2 linked regions of the Arabidopsis thaliana genome follow. The protein of the gene in region 1 interacts with the protein of each later gene in a pairwise test. Each region holds a gene or a part of one and is shown on either strand. Other genes may lie near its edges. The genes, in order: LEC1 and NF-YC11.

Region 1 (4,451 bases):
AATTAAAGACTTAAAGGGACTTTTTTCATTCAGCCATAAAATTTCAAAAGAGTCTTTACATAGAATAGACCTTTAAGAACTTTAAAAAGCCAAACAATAACCGGAAATTAAACTTGGAACTAGAAGAAACAGAGCAAGCATATGGGTTTCAATCTAACCGAAAGATAACCACCCAATAACCGGAGATGAACTTGAACCAGTTACAGAAAACCATGGCTAAGGTCTTTAACTCTTAGTCTTAGTAATGATCCTTGAAGAAGTGTAGGCAGAAACAGAGAGCGACCAACGTTATGAATCCTTGGAAAAGACAGAGATGGAGAAACCAGAGAGCAACGAGTCAGGATCACCCTAATGAAACTCAAGCACCCAAAAGAAAGCAAACTCAAAGAGGATATAAATCTTCAGAAGTTTGACAACTCAACGAATTTAGATTTTATAATCCTTTGGCTTAGTTGTGTAAAACTCAAAAAAGTCAATTAAACTTGGTTCCTACAATGTTTAGTTATCATCTAACTATGACAGCTTTTGAATTACAAAACCTTTAGATCATGTAAATATATAATGTTGCATAGAGTTTAATCCACAAAACAGTTTGGGTTAAATCATTTGCATATATAAATCAGTTTCTCATAAAGTATTGAAATACAACACTTTTCCTTAAAGAAGCAACATTATATAGAAATGTTATTGATAAGACATAAAAATAAAATATCTATCCAAACACATGTTTTGAACAGATATAAAAATGAAGAATAATTCCATCTTCACTTATACTGACCATAATGGTCAAAAGCCGGCATTCCGTTAATGGAAGACGAAGAGCCACCACCAACACTGGATTCATCTTGACCCGACGACCCGTTTTGGTAGTACCGACCACCTCCCATAACCATGGATTGGTCCAACATACCATAACCATAAGGACCCGGAGGAGGTAGGCCATGAGATGGGCCGTGAAACCCAATACCATTTCCTCCATAGGTTTGTCTCAACGACGGTGGCTCACCTCTAAGTGCAGAACCACGATCGGTCTCTATCTCACGGTACCGGTTAATGAACACGGTGAGGGGGTCCACGTAGTTATCGAACCCAAGCTTGCTCATAGCCCAAAGGATATCTTCAGCAGTTATGGTCTTACGTTGCTCACGTTGGCAACGCTCGTTGGCTTCACCGGTCACGAAGCTGATGTACTCGGAGACACATTCTTGAATCGTTTCTTTGGCGTCGTCAGAGATTTTGGCGTGAGACGGTAAGGTTTTACGCATGATTCTTATGACGTTTGCGATTGGCATGTATTGGTCTTGCTCACGAGCCACACATGGTGGTTGCTGCTGGACCACGATACCATTGTTCTTGTCACCGGCGCCGGCTACTACGACTGAGCTGGTCATTGGGGTTGGGTTGTTGCTGTGCTGGTCCAAGTTCAATTCTGTTCATAGAAAATACAGAGAGAAATTGAAATCTTTAGGAAATAAAAAAGATTAGTTGAAGTAGAAATGATGATTAAATTTGTAGGATACGAATGGATTAGAAGAAAACAAGAGAATCAAGGGACACGTTCTTAGTTACGGACCAATAAGATAAGAGTAAGTTTGTGGGGTCTACATTCTAGACTTATGGACCCCGTTGAGTAGACTGTTCAGATTCTTGCCGTTACGTTTTACATGTATACCAAAAAGCTTTCGCTTAGATTATTAATTAGAAAAACCAAAAACTCAAAATTTGGAGAAGAACATCAATTAATTTATGTAGACGAAGGTATGACTCAATAAAGTAGACATTTATTTCATGTGAAGGTTCCCAATGGTAAATGTTGAAAGAATCAAAAGATTGGAGTTAATGACATCCAGTAATTAAAAAATCAATAGTAAAAGGAAAATTTGGAGAAAATTTCACTTAGTTTTTTTCCAAAAAAATTACTGATAGATTTTGAATAAAAAAACCTCACACTAAAACTTGGGACTAGTATAAGATATATATATATATATATATAGTTTAAATGTTAAGTACTAAAAAAATTTGAGTTTCTATTTTTTTAGTGTTTTTGAATCACATGAACCGTAGATGTTTTTAGACAAGGGAAGAGACAAACGAGAATCTCGTTTTGAAACGAAGAAAAAAACTCAACCGTTACAACAAAGAAAAAAACGTTTTTAGAATCGAAATTTTTTTTGATAAAAGAAAGAAAACGATACTCAAAAACATTCCTGGTACATGCACGGGTATATTCAATGAACACATACGAGAGATTTGTTTAACTAATACCACACCATGGAAATATTTGGATAAAACTTTGACTCAGCCATGATGAAACAATACATATCAAACTCTTGCATGTATGTATATAAAATCGTCTTCTCCGGGCCATTCCCAAAACCTTCACAAATCTAAATTAAAAATTTCTAGAAAGAAAGCATTTAGTTCGTTGTTGCAAAGTCTCATAAAATTCATAAAGCATGTCTCCAATTTTTCATGAGCATATAAATATACATGGAGGCAAGTATATACTGTATAAAAATAGCCACTTAGATTACCAGAGATGGATTTTGGTAGCTGATAGTGAGAGAAGGGAGCTCCACGTTCCATTGTTTCTCTGCCGTCTTTTTTTTTTTTTGTTCTTTATAAAATAATTATTTGAGTGATTTGTTGCATGCAAAGAGAGGTTGATGGTTGAGTGGTTTTATAGAGAGATGATACAAATGGCAAAGGAGGCGGTTCTTACGAGGTCTATATCTCTTTCCCATTGGCTTGTCTCATTGGCTATGTGGCCAGTCAAACTGCTCTTCTCTCATTGGTTGTTTTTTTTCACAAATTACCAAAGTAATTAAGTAAAAATAAAGACTATTAAGAAAGAAAGAAAGATAAGAAGAAGATTTTTATACATATGAGGCTCTCTTTGTTTATATAAATTAAATGTTGTTTAACATTTTCTATTTATTTAGTCAATAAAGTATTCGATTATCGAACGGCTGAGAAAGATTGACGTGACGTTATTTTAGTCATATATTTTATTAAAATTTAATAAAATATAGGTTTCACTAAATTCTTTGTTTCTTAATTAATGAAATTGAAAATTAGTTTTAAAAAGATTCTCTTACTTAAAATGGTAAATTTTGGTATATTTGAATAAATATGCGTTACGAAAGTGAGTTATCACGTTTATTGTAATTTTTATTTAAATTAGCCTTTTAAAGTGTTTATAGGAAAATTACAAAAGGTTAGTACAAGATATTGGTGTTAGATGATGCATGTTACAATTGAATATTGCTTTACATTTTCTAATACATAATTAATCAACAAATAAAATAAAACCAACACCCTAGTAATGGAATGGTGGATAAAGATTTTTGAAAGATGGAAAAACATGAAGAATTTTGGATAGAGTTTACGGCCCAGTCCATGACCTGTTTTGGATCTAGCCCATACTAAAAACAAACCAACGAGAATTAACAAAGAACCAATATTGAATCTTTCCTGGCCAATGACCTCTCATTTCAAAATGAAGTTTAGAACTAAAATAATCTTACGCATATAAGATTATTTTAGTTATCATCAGTATGAAATCTCATGGAACTCTGCTAAAAGTTTTTTTTTTCTTTAAATGTTTCCATTCACTTTGCTTCCCTTAAAGATAAACCATTTTGAACATACATCTTTAGCAGAATCTAGAGAGATTATAAATAAAGAGGCCACATGCAGGTGGAGCAAGAGCAAGGAAAGGATAGCTAAAGAGATAGGATAATACAACAACTCAGTTAGGAGGCGGTGAATTGGTAAAAGTTTCATTGCAATTATACGCTCAACTTTCAAATAATAAACTAGAAGATTTACTTATTCTGAGGTTAAGGAAATATGACTTCTGGTAAAGGAGAGTTTGGTGTTGTCTACCATGATTTTCAATATATTGAACAAGCAGCCCATAAAGTTATCTCTCATTGCAGAATTTTTTGTAAGCTTCTTCGCATACATCATGAGTAGCACCTTTGACCATCTTCAAACATTGGTTTGGAACGCAATGTTTTGATACAAACTTCTATCGTGCTTGAGTAAGATATATACTCGTTCTATATCTTTTACCATCTTTTCAAGTAGTTTTTTCTTTTTTCAAGTATACCAACTTCTTTTTTCATATATAGTATTCTGATTTCTGAGCAACCATTTCTAATTAATTGTAGCTCGTAAGCTCTTTATTAAATTTAACTAAAAATCTTAGTTATATCATTATAAATAACGCATCGCATGTAGATGAAAGTATATAAATAATAACTTGTACACATGCACGTTTGAACAATCCTTAGAACAACCAATATATTTTTATCTGCATTACAACTGGCAGAAAAAAAGATTATGATGCATCTAATTACTTAAATAACCAAACTATATATAATAAGAGATGGAACAGTTTGGTAGATCCGGCGTTGAAATGACAATCCCGTAGGCTTAATAGCTAT
Region 2 (5,221 bases), on another chromosome or scaffold:
ATGAAAACTTTCATGAATTAGAAGAAGACGTTGATTGATAAAGAGAGAAGAACAACAACAAATTCAAATCACAAGATTAGCAGCAACTTTTAAGTTCCAGAGACGTTCCTCAACAGCGAGCTTAAAGCAAACATACGACTCAATCGACGCCTGAAGTACCTGATAATGGTTAAGGTTATAAACGCCCCAATCGCTCATACAAATCGCCGGATCTAACCTCACTCCTACGCGACCCAAACGCTCCTTCACGATCTGTTCAAACGAACAAAAACACATCCTAGCCCCTCTCGAATCTCTCACGAACATCCTTATGTCCAGAAGCTTCCCGATCTCCACTCGATGCCTACATTTCTCGAGTTTTTTCTGGTCTTGGCCGTTCCAAACGCCGACGAAAGTCGTTTTGGGATCGGCAAGGAAAGTGCGGAGGACTTTTGGGAGACCGTAATTGTAACCTAGTTGGATGATGAGACAGCGACTACCGACGCACAACTGGAGAGTTTTTGGTGGTGGATCTGGATCGGAACTATCCGGTCTCCACTGAACACCGATTCCAACGACGAGAGGATGTACCGAGTGATTACGGTTGTAGGAGCGGACGCTACGAATCCAGCGGCGGATAACGGAAGCAGTCGGCGTAACGGTGACGATCAAGTCGTCTCCGAAAAAATCGACAAAGTGTTTTTGGTGAGTACGGAAACTTCTGATTCTTTTGATCGTCGGAGCCATTGATCTGTCTTCTTCTTCCTTTCTCTAAATTTTTGAGCGAGTGTTAGAAAGAGAAGCGGTTTCTTTTTCTTGTTATAGGGTACATTTTTGTTTCTAGTTATAATCACCGTCGATCTTTGTAGTTTTAATCGTACGGTTGACAATGGAGATGCATGTACTGTCACATCGTCAGGCCTATCATAGATGTATACGCAAAACATTTACTAATTACTGTATTTTACGGCTCTGAATTTTTATTTTTATTTCCATAAAGGTTTGATGAAGACATGGAATATAATACTTTTTTACGTACTTCTTTTTACTAAAATAGTTTATTCAGTTATTTGGGGGCTTAATTAGGTAGATAACCATAACCTTTTTTTGTGTGTTTTTTTCACGAACAATGATTCACTGATGTAAAATCATAATTACTGATGAAGTTAACTTTCAACGTATAACGCTATGACGCAATTACTCTTGATATTTTTTCCTATATATTGGTTTGACAAAATTTTGTAACTTTAAATATAACTTCTGAAAAAATAAAAAAGTTGTAAATATAAATTCCACAACATTTTGTTTGGAACTTTGGATACATAGGCCACTTTGTTTTATCACACTTTATAATAAAGGTGGTTTCTGTTTTTTTTTTCTAAAATTCGACAGTTTGGTTTATAAGTATCTAAATTCAACTTGAAGACAAATAATTCTAACTTTATTTTATTTAAATTGTGATAAAAAAAAGTAACCCAAAACATATTTTTTGGTTCAGGCATATGTGTTACAACTTACAAGGATGCATTATCCTCAAACAAAATCCAATAAATAAAAAATAGAGAAGGTGGATGAAGATCTAAGAATTAATACTGTCACGAGAAAACGTATACAATCCACTAATACATAGCCACGTGTATGGTTAGATCTTTTCAAACAATCCGATTATATTTTGTGCTCCGCCGTATATTTATAACTAACATTACTTAATTAAATAACCATGTCGTCGACCCATTTTTTTTCTTTGACCCAAAACTTTAATTTGATTATATATATTTAATTTTAATTTTTCCATCGCACGGAGATTGTAACAAGGAAACCGCCGTCGCCGGATCTGATAGTGCATATCCATGAAGTAGAAGACGAAGAAACTTACTTTCTGATCTTAGAACGGAGTATATGTACAGAAGATTCGCGTCCCTCAATTTTTGATCTCAAGGGTCGGGTTTACCTTTTTTTCCTTCTTATTTTTGGTGGCTTTGCGTTTTCTCATTCGACGATTTCTGGATTTGGGGATTTCAAAACCATGAGGAAGAAGCTCGATACTCGGTTCCCAGCTGTAAGTTTTTCGTCTCTAATTGATCATTTCTGAAATTGAAGTCCAATTTCTCGGAAATTACTTTGATCTGTTGTTTTTCAGATCGAATTTCCAACACTATTTGGGATTAGATTAGTGTTCTACGATGAAAATTAGATTAAGTATCTCATTTCTGGCGAATTAGTTTTAGCAAATGACCTAGTAGTCAATTTCACCCTAATTTTTGTTGTGCTTGTTATATAGCTATAGTAATATGTGTTATGAAGATCCGCTATGGAATGTTTCATGTAAATTAGAGAATTCGAGAATTTAGGTGACTAGTGCTCGAAACGTGTTCTTTATCAACAAACCAGTCAGCTATTGGTTAGATAGTGTTGATTGAAGCAGGGATGTTATACACGAATTGTTTTTTCATAGGCTTGGAACTTTTTGTAGAGCTTCCAATTTGGCTAGCTAGATTTTGTTTAGCTTTATTGAATAAAACGTCAGATGATTTCATAAGTTGGTTATTGTTGATGGTGGTTTATTTTGTTTGAGCTGAGGCTAGAATATTAGTTTTTCACAGATTTTGACTTTCCATTTAATTTGTTAATATATTTTTGTTTGTATAATCTGATTGGTGATTGTACAGAGCGTGCTTGGTGTTTCTCAGTTCTACCATTTGCTTTATAATTCGTTTAGTAGTCTGTAATTATTGCCACACACACTGTGTGATGGTTGCTGTTTCTTCATTTGATGCATATATTACAATTTTTCAGGCTCGTATTAAAAAGATTATGCAAGCTGATGAGGATGTTGGCAAGATAGCTTTGGCAGTGCCTGTCTTAGTCTGTAAGTCATCTTGCTATCATTGACTTCAGTTTGAAAAGAGAATTATTGGAAACTTTACCCTTTGGCTAAATTTCATGTTCTCTTATTACAGCAAAATCTTTGGAGTTGTTCTTGCAAGACCTTTGTGATCGTACATATGAAATTACCCTTGAAAGAGGTGCCAAGACTGTGAGCTCATTGCACCTGTAAGTAACAGATTGGTTTACCTTTATTTTTGCTTTAACTCTGCATGCTAGCATCGTCATTATCTAAAGAGCATGAAAGGTTTCACTTGAATGCATTTTAAATTCTAGAGCTTTCAGATGTTGTAATTATTGATATTGTGGTTTAAGAGTTAACATGATGTTGTTAAGCGGAATAGCTTCCAACTCATAGGGCCTATTTTCACTGCATCCAACACCGAGAGGATGTTGTTTACTGTTACAGAATTTTATACCACAAATTTGGGATAAAGTTCTTATTTTTGCTCATCCATGTTTATCAAAGTGCTTTGTTGTTTACAGAAAACATTGTGTGGAAAGATATAACGTGTTTGATTTTCTGAGGGAAGTTGTGAGTAAGGTGCCTGACTATGGCCATTCCCAAGGGCAAGGACATGGTGATGTTACCATGGATGATCGCAGCATCTCCAAGAGAAGGTTGGATGTTTGATCTCTTAGTTCCATATGTTCTAGTTCTTTGTTTATAGTCCGTGTCAAGCTGATGTGAGATGGTTTATCAAAACAGGAAGCCCATCAGCGATGAAGTGAATGACAGTGACGAGGAATATAAGAAAAGCAAAACGGTGAGCTCGTGTTCTTCTTGAAATATTATACTTCATCATTCATTTGGTGTCTATTCCCAGCTCCTTAGATTCATTGAATATATTGGTAATCACTGCAGCAAGAGATAGGGAGTGCTAAGACCAGTGGCAGGGGTGGTAGAGGAAGAGGGCGAGGAAGAGGTCGTGGTGGACGAGCTGCAAAAGCAGCCGAAAGAGAGGGTCTCAACCGCGAGATGGAAGTAGAAGCCGCCAATTCTGGACAGCCACCACCAGAAGACAATGTCAAGATGCATGCGTCAGAGTCATCACCACAAGAGGATGAGAAGAAAGGCATCGACGGCACAGCAGCATCGAACGAAGACACCAAGCAACACCTTCAAAGTCCCAAAGAAGGCATTGACTTTGATCTCAACGCTGAATCCCTCGACCTAAACGAGACCAAACTGGCACCAGCCACAGGCACAACCACAACCACAACTGCAGCAACAGACTCTGAGGAGTATTCGGGCTGGCCTATGATGGACATAAGCAAAATGGATCCAGCACAGCTTGCTAGTCTGGGTAAGAGGATAGACGAGGATGAGGAAGATTATGACGAAGAAGGCTAAGTCATAACAGCACTATAGGATATATAGAGTAGCAGCGTTTAGCAGTTTGTCTAGAAAATGCTTCTTCTGTCATCAAAATCTTCTCCTGTTTCCATTTATTGTATGAACCAAAGATTGCATGCACTCTATGAAACTTAATTTATTCTCCTGATTTGTTATTTAAGGTTTTAGAGTTTTACATCAGAAGTTAAAATATCTTACAGAGTAAGTAAACACTCAAAAGTACATAAACAAAGGAGAGGGACTAGTCATGGTGTTGCTCCGCGTGGTTGAGATGAAGAGCACCTTCATGGTTCTTGTGAACTTCCACCTTGAACTTTTCCTCTTTTTCTCCCCTCTTCAACTTCAGTAGCATGTTGTATTTTGCAGCCTCGCCGGTTACCTGTGTCCATGTTTTTAATATTAAGCTCATTAATCTTGTAATCACCAACTATTACAACTCAGACGTTAGTCCTCATACCAAGGAGAACCAATATGTTGCTTAAAGTCTTTTCTACTTCTAAAACTTCAACACCATTCGGTTTCACTGACACTTGATTTCGTTTATTTGCAATTTCTCAGATGAAATTCATGCAAAAACATTGTCAAAATCTGACAAGTTCTCTATTGAAATTCATTTTGTGCAATTAAGATCGAAGATAGAGTATATAGTAAATTAAAGCCATACCTCAGCTTTAGCATGCACAACCTCCAGAAGTTCATAAGGGAACAAGGAGTTAGACCTCTGCTGAATGGTCTTGACAGCCTGCTCAGCAACATGCTTCACTTCTGGATCATCTCCGGGAACTTCCCTCCATCCAGATTCATGTTCACCTGATCCACAAAACCCAATTTTCATAACCAAACTCTTTCCTAACCCACAATCTCTGACTTGCTACATATATATCCCCTGACATTATAATGTTCTTATCAGTAACTACTCAAATTCACACCTTGCTTGCAGCCAAGATCGGAGGAAGTGATAGCAGGGGCATCACTGGCAGGCTTGAACTCCTGTAACTC

What was found.
Region 2: the proteins of LEC1 (region 1) and NF-YC11 interact in a two-hybrid assay, tested with the Arabidopsis thaliana proteins (one study listed by BioGRID).

Annotation. Positions count from the first base shown.
Region 1 is NC_003070.9:7,726,986-7,731,436, forward strand, and holds LEC1 (Histone superfamily protein), read right to left. Parts: upstream 2,665-4,451; 5' UTR 2,587-2,664; coding exon 2,535-2,586; intron 1,430-2,534; coding exon 765-1,429; 3' UTR 592-764; downstream 1-591. UniProt on the Arabidopsis thaliana protein: Component of the NF-Y/HAP transcription factor complex. The NF-Y complex stimulates the transcription of various genes by recognizing and binding to a CCAAT motif in promoters. Acts as a central regulator of the embryogenesis.
Region 2 is NC_003074.8:3,956,060-3,961,280, forward strand, and holds NF-YC11 (nuclear factor Y, subunit C11), read left to right. Parts: upstream 1-1,703; 5' UTR 1,704-2,005; coding exon 2,006-2,038; intron 2,039-2,775; coding exon 2,776-2,848; intron 2,849-2,939; coding exon 2,940-3,033; intron 3,034-3,351; coding exon 3,352-3,486; intron 3,487-3,574; coding exon 3,575-3,632; intron 3,633-3,730; coding exon 3,731-4,219; 3' UTR 4,220-4,413; downstream 4,414-5,221. Other genes in the region: AT3G12470 (Polynucleotidyl transferase, ribonuclease H-like superfamily protein), read right to left, coding at 64-726; CYSB (cystatin B), read right to left, coding at 4,464-4,601, 4,887-5,032, 5,152-5,221.